3 linked regions of the Rhinolophus ferrumequinum genome follow. The protein of the gene in region 3 purifies or fractionates together with the protein of the main gene of each other region. This does not show direct contact. Links are inferred from orthologs where the notes say so. Each region holds a gene or a part of one and is shown on either strand. Other genes may lie near its edges.

What was found. Proteins that work in one complex are often made in the same cells at the same time.
Region 1: the proteins of FIP1L1 (region 3) and P4HA2 purify together in Homo sapiens (co-immunoprecipitation; 3 studies listed by BioGRID and IntAct, with this or other methods). This does not show direct contact. The link is inferred for Rhinolophus ferrumequinum from reciprocal best matches to the Homo sapiens genes FIP1L1 and P4HA2.
Region 2: the proteins of FIP1L1 (region 3) and CSTF2T purify together in Homo sapiens (co-immunoprecipitation; 3 studies listed by BioGRID and IntAct, with this or other methods). This does not show direct contact. The link is inferred for Rhinolophus ferrumequinum from reciprocal best matches to the Homo sapiens genes FIP1L1 and CSTF2T.

Annotation. Positions count from the first base shown.
Region 1 is NC_046307.1:8,586,847-8,594,644, forward strand, and holds the start of P4HA2 (prolyl 4-hydroxylase subunit alpha-2), read right to left. Parts: upstream 3,021-7,798; 5' UTR 2,919-3,020; intron 2,834-2,918; exon of another isoform or gene 2,692-2,833; intron 2,360-2,691; 5' UTR 2,222-2,359; intron 1-2,221. UniProt on the Homo sapiens protein: Catalyzes the post-translational formation of 4-hydroxyproline in -Xaa-Pro-Gly- sequences in collagens and other proteins.
Region 2 is NC_046299.1:34,703,126-34,710,049, reverse strand, and holds CSTF2T (cleavage stimulation factor subunit 2 tau variant), read left to right. Parts: upstream 1-3,904; 5' UTR 3,905-4,180; coding exon 4,181-6,088; 3' UTR 6,089-6,453; downstream 6,454-6,924. UniProt on the Homo sapiens protein: May play a significant role in AAUAAA-independent mRNA polyadenylation in germ cells. Directly involved in the binding to pre-mRNAs.
Region 3 is NC_046288.1:15,959,405-15,966,724, reverse strand, and holds the start of FIP1L1 (pre-mRNA 3'-end-processing factor FIP1), read right to left. Parts: upstream 3,001-7,320; 5' UTR 2,777-3,000; coding exon 2,692-2,776; intron 1,538-2,691; coding exon 1,493-1,537; intron 1,390-1,492; coding exon 1,350-1,389; intron 1-1,349.

The DNA.
Region 1 (7,798 bases), on a different chromosome or scaffold from region 3:
AATAAGACAGAAATTGGGCAATCGATCTCCAGGTCCTAGGACTGCGCAAAGAGATGAAACATTAACTCAGGACAGAATGGAGTCAGGTGCAATGCAGCACAATAGCCAACAGGGAACAACCCTGGAACTGTCAACTACTGGCTCTAAAGCTCACTAAGGCAGGAAAGTTCTCCGGCAAAAGGCCAGACACTGAACCAATACTCTAAGATTTCTAAGATTTCACATATTTCTATGCCTCTGACCTGCTCGCTCTGAGTTCCTACAAGTATGAGGCCTCAGGATCTCAGCCACAGCTTGGCCCTCAGGAATGCCAGGTACAGCACAGGCTACATTCTAGCAAGCACTTCCTGAAAGGTCTAGAGCAGACAGTGGTCTGGGATCGGGCTCAGACATCCTATCTGAGATGAAGAACTTACTCCCCAAACACTTAATCTTCTGCCTTGCAATGACACCACTTGAACAAAAAACTCTCTTCTAGGGCTCCAACAAGTCTAAACCAGACTTTTCACTCCCCTCTGCTCCTTCTGTGGATAAAAACTACATCCCTCATTCCACAGCCCCAGCACAAACCCCAGACGCCACAGGAGCCACCAGCTCTCTCTGCTCTAGGACAGGCTGATGTCCCACCCTGGGGCACTTCAAAAGTCCAAATTGCTAGATTCGAGCAACTTTTTCAGATTAACTCTCGCTCTAGCACTCTGTCCGGGCTTGCACGTGCCTGCATCATAGCATTTCCTGCCAACCTCCATCTGCATAAAATTAAACTCCTGACAGCTCCCAGGAGCCAGGGACACACCCACCAGCCCAATGCACACTATCAGCCAACGTGGCCATAAACCGGCCAAGGTCTTGCATCCAGCCTCAGATCCTCCCAAGATTGTGGGAGGGCAGAGTCAAAAAGTGAGGCTCTCCCCGGAAATGAGTAGACCCCCGATTCCCTCACCCCACTCATTTCTCAGGGCTGCACCCGAGCAGTCTCTCTTTCTAATAAGCACTGACACTCTGCGCTCTTCCTCTGGCACATGGCCAGCTGCCCGTGTAGTGTGAAGCAGCAATCTCAGAGAGATGAGCTACCCACGGGTAAGAACAGTGCCACCACCTCGGCCGCCTCCTCCGCCTCCTCCCTCATTCCGGCCCCAGACATGTTCTAAGCAGAAGCCAGGCACACAGGAGGTACTCAAAGAATAAACACGAGATCAGCTGCAGCCACACTAACCAAGCAACAAAGTAAGCACTCTCCCAGGCACCCCACTTCAGAGCCTGCAAAAGGGCGAAGGGACTACGATCACAAACCACAGACGAGTTGTCACCATGTCTGCCTGCTGAGCTCTCAGAGAACTAGGGTGGCCCAGTATGACAACATTCTGGGCTGAGGCCCCCAGCCAACTCACTCCATCCTTGCTACGTGGCTCCCTTGGCTGGGCTGCACAGTGGACATGTTTGGCCATCTGAGAATAAGAAGACACTAGAAGAATTCACAGCTCAAAGATCTCATGAGTGGGAGCAGTGAACAAAAATGCTGAGTCCTGAGGCCCAGAACCAGTAAGAGACTGGATACTTCAGGGGCAGTTTAAGCACAAGCCAAAGGAAATCTTGGTACATTTAACAGACAAGAACTCAACCATGCAAAAACATTCTATAAACCCTTAGGTGGACAGTGGATCTCTACAAAACCTGAGACGTCTTAGAATACAAAGTGACATTCCCCCAACCCTTGTTCTCGGGCCAGGATCTCCTGCAGGAGGGCTGAGACTGTCAGGCACCAGCCGTAGGTGTCATGACAGCAGAAGACACCAGTCTCAGTCTTGGGAGGGACTCTAATGTTCTTCTACACCATCTTAAAGGTGTCAGATTAGAATGCAGAGGCCAGGCACGCACCTATGCTGTCCTGAAGAAGGAAGCACCCTGATCCACTCTCATGCTGCAGGGTTCACTGAGCACCCTCCACCTGCAGGGCACAGTTCTAGGAACTGTCCTCTCACTTGCAGCTCTTGTGGGTCCATGGGCAGCTATCCCCTAAAGTGTCCCTTCCCGCATCACCTTATTTCCACTAGAGAGCCCAGGTCTACTCCTGCTCACACAGGCTGTTCCTCTGTCCGGGTTACTCTTTACACCATTCCAGCTCATGAGTCACCTCCTCGAGGAAGCCCTCTGGCCTGAAGCATCCTGTCTTCTACCAAGTACCCATAGCCCCTGTGTTCCCTCCCAGCACAACACTCACCACACGGCTCTGAGCTTGGATTTTCTTGGTCTTCCAGTCAGTCTGCCCCACTGGGCTAGCAACCCCTTAGAGTTTCTGACTCACAGAAGGGTCCGTTTGTTGAATTAGTTAAGTCGTTATAACAGGTCTCCGCAGTTGCTGAGGAAAAACAACACAGATTCGAAAGGGATTCTGCAGGGGGGAAAAAAAAACACAAAACTTTCCCATACAACAGCCTGTCTTAATGGGCACCAAGCTGGACCCTGCGGTATCAAAGCACAGACTCCCAGCCCTTTGCCCTCCGGAGGCGGTGAGGTGGACCTCACTAACGTGAAGCTGCCTCTCAGGGCCTGGCCCACGCCCCTGCCTCGTCTCCAACTTGTGGCCTCGGGGCCAGGCCGCCCCTTCCCGGGGAGCCTGACAAGGCAGGGCGGCCAAGTTCCCCGCCTGGCGCGGCCGCCGAGGGGACAGACAGGAAGAGCGCCGCTGACCTTACCACCCTGGGCCCGGGGAGGGGACGCAGGCGGCGGGACAGAAACCCAGACGGGTGTAGAAACAGGGCGGCGGGCGCGGGGCTGCGGCCCGGGCTGCCATGCGAGCGGCGGGACCCCTGGTCCCCTACCCCCTGCCCCGCGCGGGCTCGACGCACCGCCCGGCGACACAGGCCTGCGCCGGAGCCCCGCGGCGGACCCGGAGGCCGAGCCGGCACGGCGCTCACCTGGACACGCGCCGCTCCCGGCGTTTCCAGAACCTCCCGTGGCGGCGCCCGGCCCGCTCAGCACCTCCTCCCTCGGCTGCTCCGCCTCCCGCCGCGGCCGGGCTCCGCCCGCTTGAGCCGCAGCCACGTCCCCACCTCCCGCCCCCGAGCGGGCCGGGCCCCTTGCTCCGCGCGCGGCGAGCTTCGGCCACGGGTCGCCACCGCCAGCGATCCCGGGGAAGGCCCGGGCAGCCCCATGGCGCGGGAGCAGGGAGCGGGCCTCGGGCCAGGCGGGAGCCGCTTGCGCGCCCTTCATGTGGCCCGCCGCCGGCCGCACGTACGCCGCGCCCGCCTCCCCTAACCCGGCTCCCACCTGTGGGACTCGCCCCGCCCTCCTCCCCAGCCCCCGGGCGGCTGCAGAAGGGCCCGCGACCCGATCCTGGAGCCCGTACCTTAAGGGGAGCGTCCCTGGGTGCTGGCGGACTCGCGTGGCCTTAGCTCGTGCCTTGGTGGTCCTCCTGGGTACAGAGGGCTTCTGCCCCCGCCCCCATGATCACCACCGGAAGGTGGGGGGAAAGTGTGCCCGGGAGGGAGCCCGGATAACAGGGGACCGGACACAGCAGTGGAGAACGCCCTGAAGAAGACTAGGTACCTGGTGTCCACCCCCCAGAGTCAAGCTTCCAAAGGGATTCCGACTTCTGGGCCAGGCAGTCCTCCTCCTGATAAATGTGTAGGTGATGGGTTGATGAGAAGGGAGCCCATCATAGACTGGGGGCATGGGAGAGTGTTCGCATACTGAGGCTACCCCTTGGTTTGCCCAATCCCTTCCATATAACATGGGCCAAAAACAGTGGACACTTCTTCAGCCAGTCCAGTCTGGGAGGGAATGAAGGCAGGGATGCAGCAAATCTCAGCCTGAACTGGACCAGGCCCTGGTGGCCAACCAGGTTCCCACGCCTGCTCTGTGAACCTTCCTGGACGTGAATGATGGGAAACACCATCTGAGAATCTCATCAGGGAGCTTGCCCAGAGTGGGAGGTGTCCAGCTTCTGCCCAGGCCTTATGAGGATGTTCCCTATACACACTTTCCAGGCTGGCAGTCCAGACCAGGGGAAGGCACGAGTACACACACAGAAATACACACAACACACATAAAAAACGGAATGAGCCTCTGTTTGGACTTGCGTCAGCCACTAGCCAGAGCTCAGCTAAAACCAAACAGAAACCTTCCTGCATCTGCTACATCCTGTTATGCCACCCTGTCTGCCCAGATCCTCCCATCCTGTCCCCTGTCTCGGGAGCTTGCCCTGTGGATAATCCTTTCTCCCTCCTGAATGTTCAGCCTCCCCCTTTCAACTGGATCCTTCCCTTGACCTATAAATATATTCAAGCCTGTACTATAGAAGGAAAAGAAACAAAAACCCTCGTTCGACCCCACCAACTATTGCAGGGTCTCTCTCCTCAACCACAGCAAAGTCCCCTGAGAGAGTGGTCTGTCTCCTCATCCTCACTTCCCTCCCATCCCTCAGCTACCTTCAGTGGGCCTTCTGGCCCGCTCACAACACCAAACCAGGTCTCAGTAAACTCTCTGTAACTTCCAAGGTCCTACATTCAACAACTACTCTTCAGTCCTCATCTGCTGAAGCCCCCAGCGGCGTTTGACACTCCCACAGAGTCCGACCACTGCCATCCTGGAACACTCATGTCCCTTGGTTTTCCACCACTCTCTCTAGCCCCCTCTGCCCACCCTCCACCCCCGACCCCCACCCAGCACATCCTCCTCTCCCCTTCTCCCCGTTAGTCAGTAAAGGTTGGGAGTTCCTCAAAGCTCAGACCAAGGCGCTGTACTTCCCTCTTCTCTTTCTATAATTTCTTCCTATACACAGATCACGCACAAATTTCTCTCTCTACGCTTCCCCTGACTCTTGAACTCCAGAATTACATAATTCACTGAAGAGTCTTACATCTCCACTTGAGCGTCCATAGGCATCTCAATTGCAACATGTCCAGCAGCGAGTTCATGCTTTCTCCCTTCCCCCTCCAGGCCTCCCGTATTCCCTGCTTCACCGAAGGAACTCCCCCCCACCCCATCCCACCCCCCATCCCACCCCGCATTGGTTACCTAACCAGAAGCCTGGAAATCATGCTCAGCACCACCTGCCTCACCCCTAGACCCTATCCTTCCATATCCCATGTCCGTTCAGTCCTACTACCTAAAACTTTCTCTACTCCATCCATTTCTCTCCAGTTTCCTGGCTGGCTGCTCCTCTCCATTCTTGTTTTCTCCCACCTCCCCTCTGCACTGCAGCCAGAGTGATCTCAATATGCAGATCTGAGCCCATCACTGTCAGCTTAGTAAATTGCATTGTTCTTAGGGAAAACCCTAAAAGTGGTCTATAAGGCCCCACATGGTTTGGTCCCTGCTCACTTCTCTAGACACACTGACCTCCTCCAGTCCTTCCAGCCATTCTCCCCCCCACCCTCTGCCACCCAGTCTCAGGCCTTTGCATATGCTGTTCCTTCTATCTAGAAAAATTTCCTTCCTTCCCAATTAAACCCTCCTGATGCCCTCAGAGGGATTTTCCTCACTTCCCTGACCAGGTCAACACATCCTAGAACAGCCTCTCATGCCCTGTGTGCTTTGTAGGACTTGCCACAGTTGATGTAGTTGAATCATTGTTTGATTAATATCTACCCCACCATCACCACCACCTGGCCTGGGAGCTCCAGGAATATGTCAGTTATATGTGTTTTTGCCCATCATCATATCCTCAGCCCCTACCGCAAATAAATGTTTGCTGCCTACATGAAACGATGCGTGTCTCTTTAACGCCTTGTTCCACACAGCAGTAGCCAAAGGACTGACTAAGGCCTCCACAAGGCCTCAGAGTCCGGGACCCACCCCACCCCCATTCCTCAGTGTCTGCATCTTCTCTTCTCTTCTAAGGATACTTTTCATTGGATTTAGGGCTCACCCATGTAATGAGAATAATTTCATCTCATAATTCTTCATTATATCTGCTAAATGCCTTTTTCCAAATACGATCACATTCACAGGGTCCAGGCCACATGGACATATCTTTTTAGGGGCCACTATTCAACCATCTACATCTGAAATTCCCTCATGCCCTCCAGGAGCTACTGGGCCCATGTAAATCCATGATTCTAGGTTCTGAATCTCTAGCCCAGGTCTGCTCCAAACCCACATAGTCTTTTCTTTGTGGCCACTTGATAGACAAACTCATTATCTCCCCACACCCTACCCACGCCACCCAAAATGTTCCTGCTCCAGCATTTCCCATACCTCAGGAAATGAAATCAACATCTCCCAGTCGTTTCCATTTTCTTCCCCACCACATTCCCCCATTGTAGATATTACCTGGTGGGTCTCTCAGTTCACTTACTGCTCTCCATTCCTGCAGCCACAGTCCAAATTCAGGACACCATCATCTCCCACCTGGACAGTCCATCCTGGCCCACAGCTTCCATTCAACTCCCCCTAGCCTAATTCCACTCGGTAGGCAGAGTGATATTCTAACAATATGATTGTGATCATGTCAATTCCATATATAGAACCTCTCAAAGGTGTCCCTGATGGCCTCTCTTACCATGTGCAGCCTCAAACTCAATGATCCAGCGCCCAGGGCATTTTTCAGTTCCATGGCCTTTGACTGTGTCATTCTTCCTGTTTAGAACACTCCTCCCCAAAAAGATTGTTCCCAAAGAAAGCCTTCTCTGGGCCCAGCCTGAGCCAGATCTCTGTATAGACCCTCTAGCTCCTTATGGATGAATTTCGTACATGCTACCTGACATCCACGTCTACTTCCTTCACCATTTTGCCTTCCCAGGGAGGTGGGCTGCCTCTGTCTTGTGCATCACTGTGTCTCCAGCTCTAGCATAGGGCCTGGCACCCAGGACCTGGACAGGGAGTTGGGAACAAAAATACATGAATGAATGAATGAATAAATGAATGAATGAATGAATGAACATCCCACCCATTATTGTGGCCTCCAGCAGACATCACTAAATACACCCATTGTGTGTCACTTAATGAATCAACAGCCATTTGGGGAAACACTCATTTTCCCCAAATCCATTGTGTGAACAAAGCCACACCTCCCTTCTTGTTTGGGTTCTATTGTGTTCATTCATGCATTCACTCCACAAACATTTGCTGGGTACCACTTGAAGCCCTGGCTGGCGATTCAGGGACCACAAATATCAAATAAGCTCTGTTTAGTGGGGAAAACTAGCAGGAGAACAGAGGTCCATACAGCAACCTTGTCTAAGGAGGGAAAAGTCCAGCCCTTTCCGACTGGTGAAGGCTTGTGGAAAGAGGTACTGCCTGCTTAGTCCCAGTCCTAGAGACCCTCCACAGGCTCACGATCAGGTATGGACTGCCACTTTTGACTCCAGCATAGCTAGGAGCATTGCCAACTGGGGCCCTACTCCCATGTTGCCCCAAGTGGTATCCCTGGCCAATGGCTCCTCAAAGCAGGCTAAAATTGTCTCCCCACCACCTCCACCTCAAGGGAATGACCTGGTGTTTCTCCAGAAGGAATGGCAAAAATATCTGTGCTGGGTGGACAGGTAACTGAATGAATGGGAGGGCAGGTGGGGTGCAGGCTTTCCCTCTCACCAGAGGCCTCCTCAGCCTGCCCTGCCCCTGCCTTCCCCACTCACCTGTGACCCCCTCCCTGGGGAAGGGATGGGGGCAGGCTTCCACCACTCAGTGCTGAGGCCTCCCTGACTGCTGATGACTCCTGCCGGCCCTGGCGACCGCCACAGCAGCTGGAGGATTGGTCAGGGTTTATAAGAACCTGGTCATTCCATGGAATTCCCCAGACCAGAGTCCCCAGGATCGACCAATGCCACACAGCCACACAGAGGGAATTATACAT
Region 2 (6,924 bases), on a different chromosome or scaffold from region 3:
AAGAGGTGCTCAAAGTGGTTACCATCAGCATTCAGACATTTCTGATTACGGCAAACTATCGCTTGAGCAACGCTCACAAAGTGTCCACTCATATACATTTTTTTGGCACCCCCGGTATTTATGGAATAAAAGAATTAATATAAGGCACTTTGTTGATTGACAAGAAGAATCCATCTTTGCTCTTTCCTTGAATGATATGGTTTACTAAAAGGTAGAAAAGTTACTCTCATTCGCCAGGTACAGATAAAGAATGGTTTATATCCAAAGAAAAATGAACTTACTTCCAATCTAGAGGAAGGAGGAAGAAGATTAAAGAGAACTTTGTGTAGGAGTGTATTTTGATCTATCTCTGTGTATAGGGACCCACACATTTATTTCAAAAATGTCATAACTAAAAATATTTTTTAGTACCTCTCTTTGGAATCTAATTAATCTATAGTGAATCTCTGTTAGTATGCTCAAAGGATACAGAATCTTTATATTCTGATGTATGTCTTGATATTTGGAAAGAGCTAATATATTTTTACCACATCTGGTCAGACATTTAGGTGATTTAGTTACATAACTCTGTTCTTGGTTGAAAACAAGGTATACCTTCGAGTTAAGGCACCAGTTTTCTAGTATGACATAAAAATGGAGCCCTAAAACAACTTTAGAATAGGACTTTAGAAATCATTTTGAACAACAGAAGTCCAAATGGATTAAGTTTCCAGTTTCTGAAGGTGATTAGTTTGAAGGATAGCCCCCATTTGGCCATATGCCTTGATGTGTTTGTTTAAAAATCACTCTTAGTACAGCTGATATTTTGATTTATTGGATCAATGCCTGAACATGCAAGATGCCACATCCATTTTTCTTCAGAGTATATGTCATGCTATAAATATCTAAACTTTAAACATTATGGGAACAAAAAAAGCAGTATAAAATGTAAGTTCTTCCAGGGTAAACCTATGATGCTACCAGGAAATGTACATAGGTTCCTAAAAGCTCTTTGTAATTCTGGGCCACTCAGTTAATAATAAATATTAGTTTATTGGTCCTGAGCATTGAGCTATGTGCTGGAACACACTGGTCTTCTATGGAGAAGACCATATCAAACCATGTATGGTTTTCTAAGGAGAAGGCCATATCTTCTAGGGAGCCATATCAAACCATTCTTCTAGTTTGGAATATGAGGACTAAAGAGAACATGGAAGACCGATGACAAAAAGGCTTCTTCCCTCTTGTTCATCCCCAGTCCCTCAGCTATTCTGTTCACACATCCTTTGAACCCAGGGTATCTTCAGAGTGGGATCAGCATGTACTAGTGTTACTAGATCAGCATTAAAGTATTAATAATTTTTAAAGACCATCCATATCTTATACTTTTTAACAGAGTGCACTAAATTTTGTCCTGATACAAATGATGAAAACAAAAGTGGATAAACACTTCAAGTCCCTTTGTTTAGAACAATGATTCTTAAAGTGAAATCCCCTAACCAGCAGCGTCAGCATCACCTGGGAACTCGTTAGAAATGCAAATTCTCCACTCCTACCTCAGAAATATTGAGTCCGAATTGGGGAGGAGAGGTGAAGAGACCCAGCGATCTGACTTAAGCCATGGATCCAGGTGGTTCTGATGTATGCTAACGTATGAAGACCGCTGGTTTAGCTATTATCAGAGCATCAGTAAAGAAACTGTCACGTCAGGGCGGCGGGTTGGCTCAGTTGGTTATAGTGCAGTGTTTATAACACCAAGGTTGTCGGTTCAATTCCCACATGGGCCAGTGAGCTGTGCCCTCCACAACTAGATTGAAAACAACGACTTGACTTGGAGGTGATGGGTCCTGGAAAAACACACTGTTCCCCAATATTCACCAATAAAAATTACAAAAAAACAGCAACTGTCAGATAAGCTGTGCAACCTTTTATGAACTTTATAATTTATCCTAATAGCCTATTGCTATCTTCATGATTACTACATTTAACATACACACAATTTCACACATAATTGTCTGACCGAATGTGTGTAAAAAAGTCATGGCTTCTCTCCTTAAAGAGATAGTATGGAAAGGAGACAAATGTACTTGTTTTTAGTTTTCCAAAATGACATCTTCCTCAACTCCCTTCCACCTCCACCCTGCCTCCAATAAAAGAATCAGGGGGGAAAACCATTACTACTAGGCTCTATTCTGTTTCTTTTGATAGAGCAGAAAGATTTTAATAGGTGATATAAATGCACTTTATCACTTGCAGATATCAGTTACAATGTGTCTTGCGTGAATAGCTATGTCCAAGTCTGTTTTAAAGAACAATTAAAACATTTGAAGGTAAATGAAGGCTTCACCATATTTGTAGCTAAACCTCATACTCATTTCAGATATATTCATTGGACATAGGTTCCTAATAGCTCTTTGTAATTCTGGCCACTCAGTGATGATGATACTCAAGACACATAAAACAATTTTTGATGAAACAAAGTTTCATAATCCCCTCAAAAAGCATACGTAGTTACTCTAGTCTTTGTAATGATTCTATGTTTAGTAGTTAAAACTCAGGCTCTGGAGCAGTGCAGTCCACAAACATATAATGTAATCCATATATGTAATTTTAAGTTTTCTAAGCAACCACATTTTAAAAAGTAAAATGAGAGATAAATTATATTTTGTTTAATCCTACATATTAAAAATATTACTTCGACATGTAAATAATATAAAGTTAATGATATAATTTTACACTTTTTATAGTCTTTAAAATCTTCCATGTACTTTACACATACGGCACACTTCAATTAGGATGCTAAATTTTCACAAGAAATACTTGATTTTCATTTAGATTTCATAAAATTTATCATTGCTAAAGTACATTCTAAACCCAACTTGTTTCAAACACACCAAAAAGTTTTCCAGTAGCCTCGCTGAGTATCAGTTTTTATTTCACATCAATAAAAAATAAATACAATTAAAATTTCAATTTAGCAGTCACACTGCCATATTTCCAGTACTCGAGAGCTCCAAGTGGCTAGTGGCTATCAATTGGGGCAGCGCAGCTCTGGAGCTGCCAGACCATACCTGGATGAGAATTCTGGCTTTGCCATTTAGTGGTTGCCTAGCAAATTACCTAGCCCTCTCCAAGCTTCAGCTCTACCAGTTCTGTCGTGTGTAGTAGGTGGGGGTAAAAAACCCCACTCCATTATGTATACTCAACTTCTGCCGTCAAAATTAACAGCATAATAGAAACAAATAGTTTGTTTTTTGTTTCATAGTAGTGGTTTTGAAATTACCTATTACTTCACTTTACAGTTATCAGACCAATCTAAATGCCTACAAGGTAAGAAAGGTTAAATTTAATTCATACTCTGCAGCCATAAAATGCTATTTATTGTTAATCATTCATATTAATATCGGTTAAAGAAAACAAGTAGTATTATGCATAGCTCCACTGCTGCCTGCGCGCACAAAGAAAAACTTGAAGGGACCGGCCGCCTATCAACGGCTGTGTTCCTAAGCAACGCGATGGGGCGGGGCTGGAGCTGGCACACATTCGGCTTGTTTCTGGGCAGTTTATTTTCCCAAACTGTTGTGTTTTTTTTTTTCCTAAAACGGAGCTATAAATTTTGTATTTGAAGGAGAAAATCCCAAATCTGTTTTGAAACGACACTTTTCACTTGAAGTCTGGAATGTGATTTTAAATGTAGCTTACATATACTATAATAATGAGAAACTGCTATGTGCAAACACTCGTATCAGAAGGAGGAACGAGCTGCCTCAATCCGTTTTCAGTTGGCGGTTTCCCGCCGGTCAAACGGAAGCAAAACCCGCTCTGACGTAAAGGGAGGCGGCCTCTCCTTGTTACCATGGTGAAGTCTATGCGGCCATCTTTACTGTGGTTAACGCGCACCAAACTTTCCCTGGCGGGGGTGGTGCCGCGCCACGAAAGTCTGCGGAATCAGAGGCGAAAATGGAATTATGAGTCTCAGAAATAAGGTGCTGACAGAACCACGTACGACCAGGATCAGAAACCATTAGCTAATGTAGTGGAACGTAGAGGTGCAGATTCCACCGAAAAGCGGAACGATGTAAACGGACGTGTGACGTTTCTGCCCGGATTTGGAGAGCCGCTTCCGTTGCTCAGCGGAAGTGTCGGTGGCAAGAACAGCCTGGGAAGAATCCGCTCACCGCCGTTTTGAACAGCCGGAATCATGTCGAGTTTGGCGGTGAGAGACCCGGCAATGGATCGATCACTGCGTTCCGTGTTCGTGGGGAACATTCCGTATGAGGCGACTGAGGAGCAGTTAAAGGACATTTTTTCGGAGGTTGGTTCTGTTGTCAGTTTCCGGCTGGTATACGACAGAGAGACGGGAAAACCCAAGGGTTATGGTTTCTGCGAGTACCAAGACCAGGAGACCGCGCTTAGTGCCATGCGGAACTTGAATGGGCGGGAGTTCAGCGGGAGAGCGCTTCGGGTGGACAATGCTGCCAGTGAAAAGAACAAGGAGGAGTTAAAGAGCCTAGGGCCTGCTGCGCCCATCATTGACTCCCCGTATGGGGATCCCATCGATCCAGAAGATGCTCCTGAATCAATTACCAGAGCAGTCGCTAGTCTCCCTCCGGAGCAGATGTTTGAGCTGATGAAGCAGATGAAGCTCTGTGTCCAAAACAGTCACCAGGAAGCTCGAAACATGTTACTTCAAAACCCTCAACTGGCTTATGCGCTGTTGCAGGCACAAGTTGTGATGAGAATCATGGATCCAGAGATTGCTCTAAAAATTCTTCATCGCAAGATACATGTCACACCACTGATCCCAGGCAAATCTCAGTCTGTGTCTGGTCCCGTCTCTGGCCCTGGCCCTGGCCCTGGACTCTGCCCAGGACCCAATGTTTTGCTGAACCAGCAGACTCCTCCAGCACCTCAGCCTCAGCATTTGGCTAGAAGACCTGTGAAAGATATTCCTCCTCTGATGCAGACCCCTATCCAGGGTGGAATTCCAGCCCCCGGGCCAATACCAGCTGCAGTTCCTGGACCTGGTCCTGGTTCCTTAACTCCTGGTGGAGCAATGCAGCCTCAAGTTGGAATGCCAGGGGTTGGCCCAGTGCCTTTAGAGCGGGGACAGGTGCAGATGTCAGATCCTAGAGCTCCTATGCCTCGTGGACCCATGACTGCTGGTGGCCTGCCTCCTAGAGGACTGTTAGGAGATGCTCCAAATGACCCACGTGGAGGGACTTTGCTTTCAGTCACTGGAGAAGTTGAGCCCAGGGGCTATCTTGGGCCACCACATCAGGGTCCACCCATGCACCATGCCCCTGGTCATGACAGCCGTGGCCCTTCCTCACATGAGATGAGGGGAGGGCCATTAGCCGATCCCAGACTGCTAATTGGAGAGCCCAGAGGACCCATGATAGATCAAAGGGGTCTACCTATGGATGGCAGAGGTGGTAGAGATTCTCGAGGGATGGAGACCCGAGCCATGGAAACTGAGGTCTTAGAGACACGAGTGATGGAGAGAAGAGGAATGGAGACCTGTGCAATGGAAACCAGAGGGATGGAAGCAAGAGGCATGGATGCAAGAGGAATGGAGATACGAGGCCCTGGCCCCAGTTCGAGAGGCCCTATGAACAGTGGAATCCAGGGTCCTGTTCCCATTAATTTGGGGGCAGGTGGTCCTCAGGGACCCAGGCAGGTCCCAAGCATTTCAGGGGTGGGAAATCCTGGATCTGGTATGCAGGGGGGAGGCATACAAGGAGCAGGCATGCAGGGGGCAGGCATGCAGGGAGCAGGTATACAGGGAGCTGGCATACAAGGAGCAGGCATGCAAGGAACAGGCATGCAAGGAGCAGGCATACAAGGAGCGGGCATACAAGGAGTGGGCATGCAGGGGGCAGGCATACAAGCAACAGGCATACAGGGGTCTGGCAAGCAAGGTGGAGGTCAGCCTAGCAGTTTTAGTCCTGGGCAGAGCCAAGTAACTCCACAGGATCAAGAAAAGGCAGCTTTGATCATGCAAGTTCTTCAACTGACTGCAGATCAAATTGCCATGCTGCCTCCTGAGCAAAGGCAGAGTATCCTGATTTTAAAGGAACAAATCCAGAAATCTACTGGAGCTTCTTGAAAGGTTTAAAAAATGCTTGGCAGTATCCCAGAAAGTTTTTGGTTTTTTTGTTGTTGTCGTTTGTTGTTGTTGCATGGAGAATGGCTGCAAAAAGCTAACTTCTGCATCCCCTGTACTTGAATGATTAGGATTTCCCTCCTGCCAGAACTAATCTCATTTCTTTTTGTTGTCTTTTTTTTCTGTTTTCCTTTTTATTTTTAATGGGGGCGGGGGGGGCGCTAGGAGTAAGAGGGAGTGGTCTGTTCACTTTAATTCACTATAAATACACAAAAAATAATTCTGAAAATAATTATATTATGCCAAATAAGATTACAAAGAATATGCAGCAATATTAAAAGTGTCTGCAATATGTTTACTACATTTTTTTTTCAAATATTGAGTAAAACGATGTGAAATCTGCACATAAAGACTAAAAGATGACCTGTTAAAATGGTAATGAACCAAGATAGTTTAAGATTTTTAGTTGCGTAAGAAAATAAAGAAGTTTACCTCAAAATTATAAGATATATTTTTGGTAAGTCATTTACAATACAAAATCCTACTTGTGGGGCAGTAGAATGCTGTATTAGGTTAAGCACTGTTTTAGTGCTTTGAAATTATTTTGAAACGTTAGAGCTAACAGGATAAGTCTAAATTTGTGGTATTGGAATTGTTCTTTTCTGAAGTGATGCTACCTGAAAAATCAAGGAATGCATCTAGTGTGATGTTCCATTCATCTCACTCTTACGAGACCAGCCGTATTCTGGCCTGGCCCTGAACGTGGTTTTGCTGGGGCAGTTCTAGGATCATCCAGGTTACTTAAGTTGGCTCTGATGAGATTCAGTGTATCTCTCAGT
Region 3 (7,320 bases):
TTAATATTCACTCCCCATTTTGCCCTGTACCCAGTCCTGGCAAAGACTATCTTCTTTCATGGATTTACCTATTCTGTCCATTTAATACAGAATCATATAATATGTAGTCCTTTGTGACTGGCTTCTTCCACTTGGCATGTTTTCAAGGTTCACCCATGCTGTAATACACGAGTACTTCATTCCTTTTTACTGCCAAATAATATTCCACTGTATAAATATGTCACGCTTTATCTATCCCTTCATTATTTGATGGACACAAGTTATTTCTACTTTTTGGCTATTATGAATAATGCTGCTATGAGCATTCATGTACAGCAGGTGCTCAAATAACATCCTTTCGTTCAACATACTTTTGTTATGTTGATGAGATGCTGTAGGAACATAACTGGCTTATTATCAGTGGTAAAATTGGTCTCCTTTTAGGTAGTTTCACTTAAAATCGCAGAACCTATCAATGAAGTGAGGACTGTACAAGTTTTTGTGTGGGTCTGTTTTCATTTCTCTTAAGGTATTTATCTAGGAGTGGAATTCCTGGATCATATGGTAACTCTCTGTTTAATCTTTTAAGAAACTGCCAGATTTTTGCCAAAACAGCTGCACCATTTTACAATCCCACCATCAGTGTATGAGGGTTCCAATTTTTCCATATCGTCACCAACACCTTTTACTGTCTTTTTTATTACAGCCAAATATTTTAAACCCAAATATTCTTTAAAAGCTGTTTTTTTAACCACCTCTTCCCCATTATGCCACACTAAAGAATCTGGTCAGAGCAATGTTAGCATATCCATGGACTTGTATGTGTGATTTGTTTTGAAATTTAGAATAAGTTTCTGGTTCCCTGTACATGTTTTGTAAACAATATTCATACCTTTCTAGTAATCTAATGAAGGGAATCATTAATTCCAGTTTGAATTTAAATAAATACAAAACATTGAAATTACAACCAAAGTACATTATACCATCAGAAATATTAATAAATTGTGAAAGTAGTAAGAGATTACTTTCAAAAATTTTAACTTAAAAATTTTTTTTGGTATCCTAACGGTTATACTGCATACTCCACTGTTGAGCTCACTTAAGGGTAAAAACTTACTTAATAGTGAAAAGTATTTAAACCCCTACTTCAAAAACTTCGTCCCCTATGCTACTAGCAAATAAACAGACTGGTTTAAGAATAGGTCCTGCAATAGGAATAAACTGCAAAGGATTCATTGTCTTCCAACCTATATTCAAAACGCTGTAATCAAACCAAACCAATGATTGTAATGAAATAATTATGGTAATGTGTTGCTAGAATCACTGTTTCATACAACCTGTGTTAAGTATCAACAAGAAATTTCACTAACCTGGCATTCTCTTCTTCTGGCCTTTCAACTTCATTTTCATCTACCAAAAAGAATACATAAATAAATAAATACAATTAACAAACAAACTACTCTTAAAGAAACCAGTATTATGAAAATCTGAAGTGATCATCACAAGCACTAACCTAGGTCCTTTGCCAAATCACTGTGCACATGCACGTCCCATGGGCCTATAAGCACATCCAAAGTTAGATCACCTTATAATGACTTAACAAGATATGTCTTTCATGAAAAATAAAAATAAAATCAGACTTGACTTCTATAAAAATAAACTTAACAGGTATTCAAGACTTCTAGATCTTTGTAAAAGAAACCCTATACATTTACATTCTAAAGTATTCCTAATGCTAAATCTTTCCACTAAAGATACTTATTTTACAGGTTGATGAAAATCCAAGTTTGTCAGTCACATCATCAAGGAGCTAGCCGCATAGTGGCCAAACGTTTTTCACTACACTATTCTAAAGACAATCAAGAATATACATTTTAGACGAGGAACAAATATTAACTTTCAAATCTAATATCGATTAACAGGCAAGAAGGGACTATGGCTTAATAAAAATTAAACAGATGTCTAAAAAAGTCCCTTTCAAAAAGTACAAGATGCACTAAATTTATTTCGAGAAAAGAAACACGAGATGACAGTGAAAACTATAAACCTAAGGGACACATGGTACTTCTATAGTGTGGTTTAAAGAGCAATCTCTTAAATAAGAAAAACTTCACCTTAATACAGGAGACATTCGGGGTTCTCTTTATGGGCCATAATGTATTCCATCTCTTTCTCTCTCTTTTAATTAATTATTTTTAAAGCACGACTTTCAGACAAGGAGGTACCCTTGCAGGTGCATTCCATACAAACTGACCATCAAGAAACAAGACGTTAGTTTTATGGCATCGACTTTATTTAGCTATTATTACAGAATGATTGTTTCTGAAAAAAGCGACAGGAAGGGCATCCTACAGCCAAGGGGTAAGAAGAGACACAGCGACACTACTCAATCGATATAAAAAACAAGAGGAAAGAGCGCGAAGGCGAGGCGGCCGAGAAGCCCCGGCGGGGAGGCGGGAGAGACTGGAGGCCTGGCCCCGCGACCCCGGTCGGATCCCCGCCGCCACGATTCGGGTGAGTGTTGGGAGCCCTTCGCAGGGCGAGAGGAGGCCGAGGGGGCGGGGAGACGCGCACACCGCGCTCCGCCTGACTTAGGCCGGACGAGAGGCCCCAGACGGCAGCGTGAGAGGCCTGGGACGCCGACCGTTTGTGGGCCAGGAGGGGAGGCCTGAGAGAACCCAGGAGAGAGAGAAAGGACAGGAAGTTCCGTACCGCCATAGAGCCACTCTTCCTCCTCATCCCCTCCGGTCCCGCCGCTCAGCTCCGACACTAGGCGCTCGACCTCGCCGGCCGACATGGCCGCCCCGAGCACAACTTAAAGGCGGCGGTCAACAGACCCCTCCAACCCCTTCCCCAGCCTCGCTGCCCGACGGTGCGAGAGGGGCACGAACCCGCCGGCGACCAAAGAAAGGCTAAAACTCCAATCCACTGGAGGCGGCCACAGCGCCGGAGGCGGCAAAGAAGTCTCCGATATTGACCCGCCTGCGCACGCGCAGCAGCAGACGAGCGGCGCGAGGTCTTTAGGTGAATTCGCTTCCGCAGAGGCGGCCAGCTGGGCCTCTTTGCGCGTGCGCACCGTAGTTGGCCCCGCCCCTATGGAATCCCGCTTAGCCTTTTTAGCGTTGATTTCTCCCTGGTAAACTAGGGTTTCCCTCCCCCAGCCGTTTTCTAATAACCCATATTGCCTTTCCCTGTGAGTACTCCATTGTTCCCTTCTGCCCTTGATGCTTTATTTTCTCAACCATTTTTGCTGTCTTTTAATTTTCTGAAAGGCCTTATTTTATTCTCTACGTGTTGTATCACCCTTGATACAGAATCGTTAACTTCAGTCCCTTTTTTCTCACTAAATAGAGAAGAAATCATAATTCATGGCCATTTTCTTGAAAAATTAATTTTAACAGCAAACAAAAATTTTAACATATAGGTAATGCATTCTCCTTGTTAAAATAAAGCATTATAATTAAGTTCAAAGATCCCCTCATCTACTACGTTCCTTTCTGGAGGCAGCCCTTGTTTTTTTGTGTGTGTGAATCATTCTGAAACTTTTTATACATTTACTTCATGTAGATTGTATTGTTTTTGTGGGAGAAATTGAGGTTAACTAGTCTTAAAGGATACAATACTGTATGTATTCTGCAGATCGCTTTTTTTTTTTAACTCAACAGTGTGTTAAAGATCCTTGTGTGTTAGTACATATGTGTCAAACTATGTCCATTTTTAAGTGCTTCATAATATTCTATAGCATAGCTCTCATAAAATGATGTACAATTGCTTTCAACTTTTCACTTTAACACACAAAAAACCCTACAATGAAGACCTATGTCCATGACTTCTTGCACATTTGTATAATACAAGTGTATATGTCATAAAGTATGTGCAGTTTTTAAGTCAATAGATAATGCCAAATTTTCAGGCCACTTTTGAGAACACATCCTTCAAGAAGATGACACATGATGGGTCAAAACTGGTATTCTCGTTCTCAACTATAACATAGTTGCATGACCTCAGGTAATCAACCTTTCTATGCTTCAGTTTTCTCAGCTATAAAATGGGAAATTTGAATGAGATGATCTCTAAAGTCCCTTTTAGTTATGATGTTTTCAAATAGGACACTCACTTTTCAACGGAAAGAAATCTATTTTAATTACAAAAATCAATATGTTTACATACTCTCTAATCAGTAAATATTGTTTTTTCATTTATTTGGCAATTACTGACATCTGCTGTTTAAGAACTTGGAAAATAAAGACATGAGTAAAACATAGCCCCTACCCTCAAAGAGCTCTGTAGAGAAAGGGTGATAAACAACTAACTCTCCTACAAGGGGAAAAGGAGACTATGATACAATAGAAGCACATACAAAGTATTTACATTCCACCAATATGACACCATTTTGTATTATTTAAACAAATCATATGGTTTTAATCCCCTTTACCTTTTTGTTTTGTTTTGTTTTCTATAATTTTTTTTAATTTTATCGGGGAATATTGGGGAACAGTGTGTTTCTCCAGGGCCCATCAGCTCTAAATCGTTGTCCTTCAATCTAGTTGTGGAGGGCGCAGCTCAGCTCCAAGTCCAGTTGCTGTTTTCAATCTTTAGTTGCAGGGGGCACAGCCCACCATCCCATGTGGGAATTGAACCAGAAACTTTGTTGTTGAGAGCTTCCGCTCTAACCAACTGAGCCATCCGGCTGCTCCAATCCCCCTTACCTTTGAACACTCTTCTACCTGCTATTCCCAGTCTCCCGAATCTGTTTAGGATAATCTCTTGCATCCTTCTGAACTCTGTTGCAACATAATCAACTTCATGAATTCTTTCCTGAATTCCACTTTATCTCCTCCCATATTTTTATTCATTCAATAAATATTTATGGAGGCTCCACAAGTGTCAGGAACTCTTCTAGGCTACATATTAATAGATTCGACAGTGAGTAAGACAAAGTCCTCCTCTCATGAAGCTTTCATTCTGAGGAGACAACCACTAAACATATGTCACGCGGTGATAAGGATTATAAAGAAAAGTAAGCAGAATAGGAAGACCCAGAGTGGGGTAATGAAGAGGGATAGGGTGCAATTTTATATCGTGTCAGGAAAAGGCCACTCTGATAAGGTGATACAAGAGCAGAGGCATGAATGGAAAGAAAAAGTAAGCTGGGTAGATTGCTGGATGAAGTCCTATCAGACAGAGGGAGTATGGAAGCGCAAAGGTTCTGGGACAACAACATACTTAGTGTGTTCGAGGAACCCCAAATGTAGCTGAAGAGGGAGGGAGGAAGAGGCTGTAGATGAGGTCAGAGTTATTGGGGAGCGGGCAGGGCAGAGCTAATCACTCCCTTGTAGACCTTGTGCTGCTTCTATGGAATGTGTCCATCACAACATATAGTAATGATTTGACTACATATCTGTATTCCTAAGACTGTTCATTAGACCAAATCCTCCCTCAAATGGAGCGTTTTTTTAATCACTCTCATTCCTGGTATGGTGCCTAGCACTTAGTAGATCTTCTTGGCCTTTACTCACAATAATGGAGTGAAGGTTTTACATTCTCTTTGGGAGTATCATAAGACAATCACTTACAGTCTTGTCTATTTATCTTTCTGTTTATCATTCCGTGAGTGTATAATGAACTTTGGTGGTTTCATGGGAGAACCAATCACCATTTGCTGAGAAGACTTTTTCTCCTTTCAGCTGCCTGAAATGAGCTCGTATTTCAAGGGATTACTTAAACAGAACTGAAGAATTACTGAATAATAACTGATGCATCAGAATTGCCTTCATGGTGGAGGTAGTATTTGATTTAAGCTTTGAACAGGAGGATTTCCACAAGCAGAGAAGCCCATAAATCACTAATAACCAGTCTTAAAAGGCCTCCTCCTTTCTTGCTTCCAAATTGAATTCCTTGCCTGGATAAACTTCCTTAGCTAAAGGTATCTTTATCTTCCTACTCACCAGGGGAGACTTCAAAGAGAGGTAGCTTGATGATACTGTGTAAAATTATGACCTTATCCAACTACAATACTCCATACATTCTGATTATATTTGTGTCCCATTTTATTTTATTTTTCTGTGATCTGTTGGTTCCTGGCAAAACAACAATAACAACAAAGCAACAGTTTTAATATATCTCTAAGAAATACCAAAAGGGAATGCTTAGCAGATGATTAAAATGATGACAAGAGTTAAAACTCAAATAACAGTGCTATGTTCAGTATCTAGCAGATAGTGAGTACTCATAAATGTGTTTTGAATGAATATGTCATTTAGGCCCAACTATGCTATTTGCTGCAAACTTTAAATATGTTGCTTAAATCTCAATATTATTCAGTTTCCTCATCAGTAAAATGATATATTAATATGACATTTTATATTCACTTCTTGGGAAGATAACAAAGCTAAAATTAGGTTTCAAAAATGTCAAAGCATTAGACCAGTTAGAGGCAAGCAGGTAGTGGGTTATGGTGTAGGCCTTTTGTCCTTTCAACAACCTGAATAACCACACACGTGTAAAGGTTTCCTTCTTCTCTAGATACTTCCATCAGGAATTAAGCCTCAATTATCCATCTTCCTATATATTTTGACATATTTTAACACTAAATTTTATATTGCTTGCTGTTTCTGGAAAATTGTATCATCTCCTCTTATAGCTACACTGTTATGTAAACTGCACACTCCTTAATGATGAAAACATTTTTTTTTCTGTAGTTACCAGATCCTGTTTTACAATGTCAAGCACATAGAAAGTGGTTAGTAAATCCTTATGTTGATGATGCATATGGAGGACTTAGAAATGAGGTGCAGAGAGATATGTTTGGTTTTATGAGGAATGGGAAATAATTGTTGGCTATTTTGAGCACAGAAGTACAAATCACATTTAAATGAAGTATATCTGATTGTCTTAAGCATGTAATTTTAGCAGGACTTAATTTGACTCTGCCATAACATCTGAGAACAAGAAGTGGAAGGAAGGAAATTCTGACACATATTATAAAATGGATGAACCTTTAAGGATATTACGCTAAGTGAAATAAGCCAGTCACAGAGGGACAAATATTGTGTGATTCCACATACACGAGATATCTAGAGTAGTCAATTCATAAAAACAGAAAGTAGAATGATGGTTGCCAGGGGTAGAGGGAGGGAGAAATGGGGAGTTGTTTAATGTACATACTGTAGAGTTTCAGTTTCACAAGATGAAAAAATTCTGGAGATTGGTTGCACAACAATGTGAAAATACTTAACACTGCTGAATTGTACCCTTAAAAATGGTTAAAATGGAATTTTATGTTATGTGTATTTTGTCACAATTAAAAAAAACAAACAGACAAATAAACAAAAACATGGC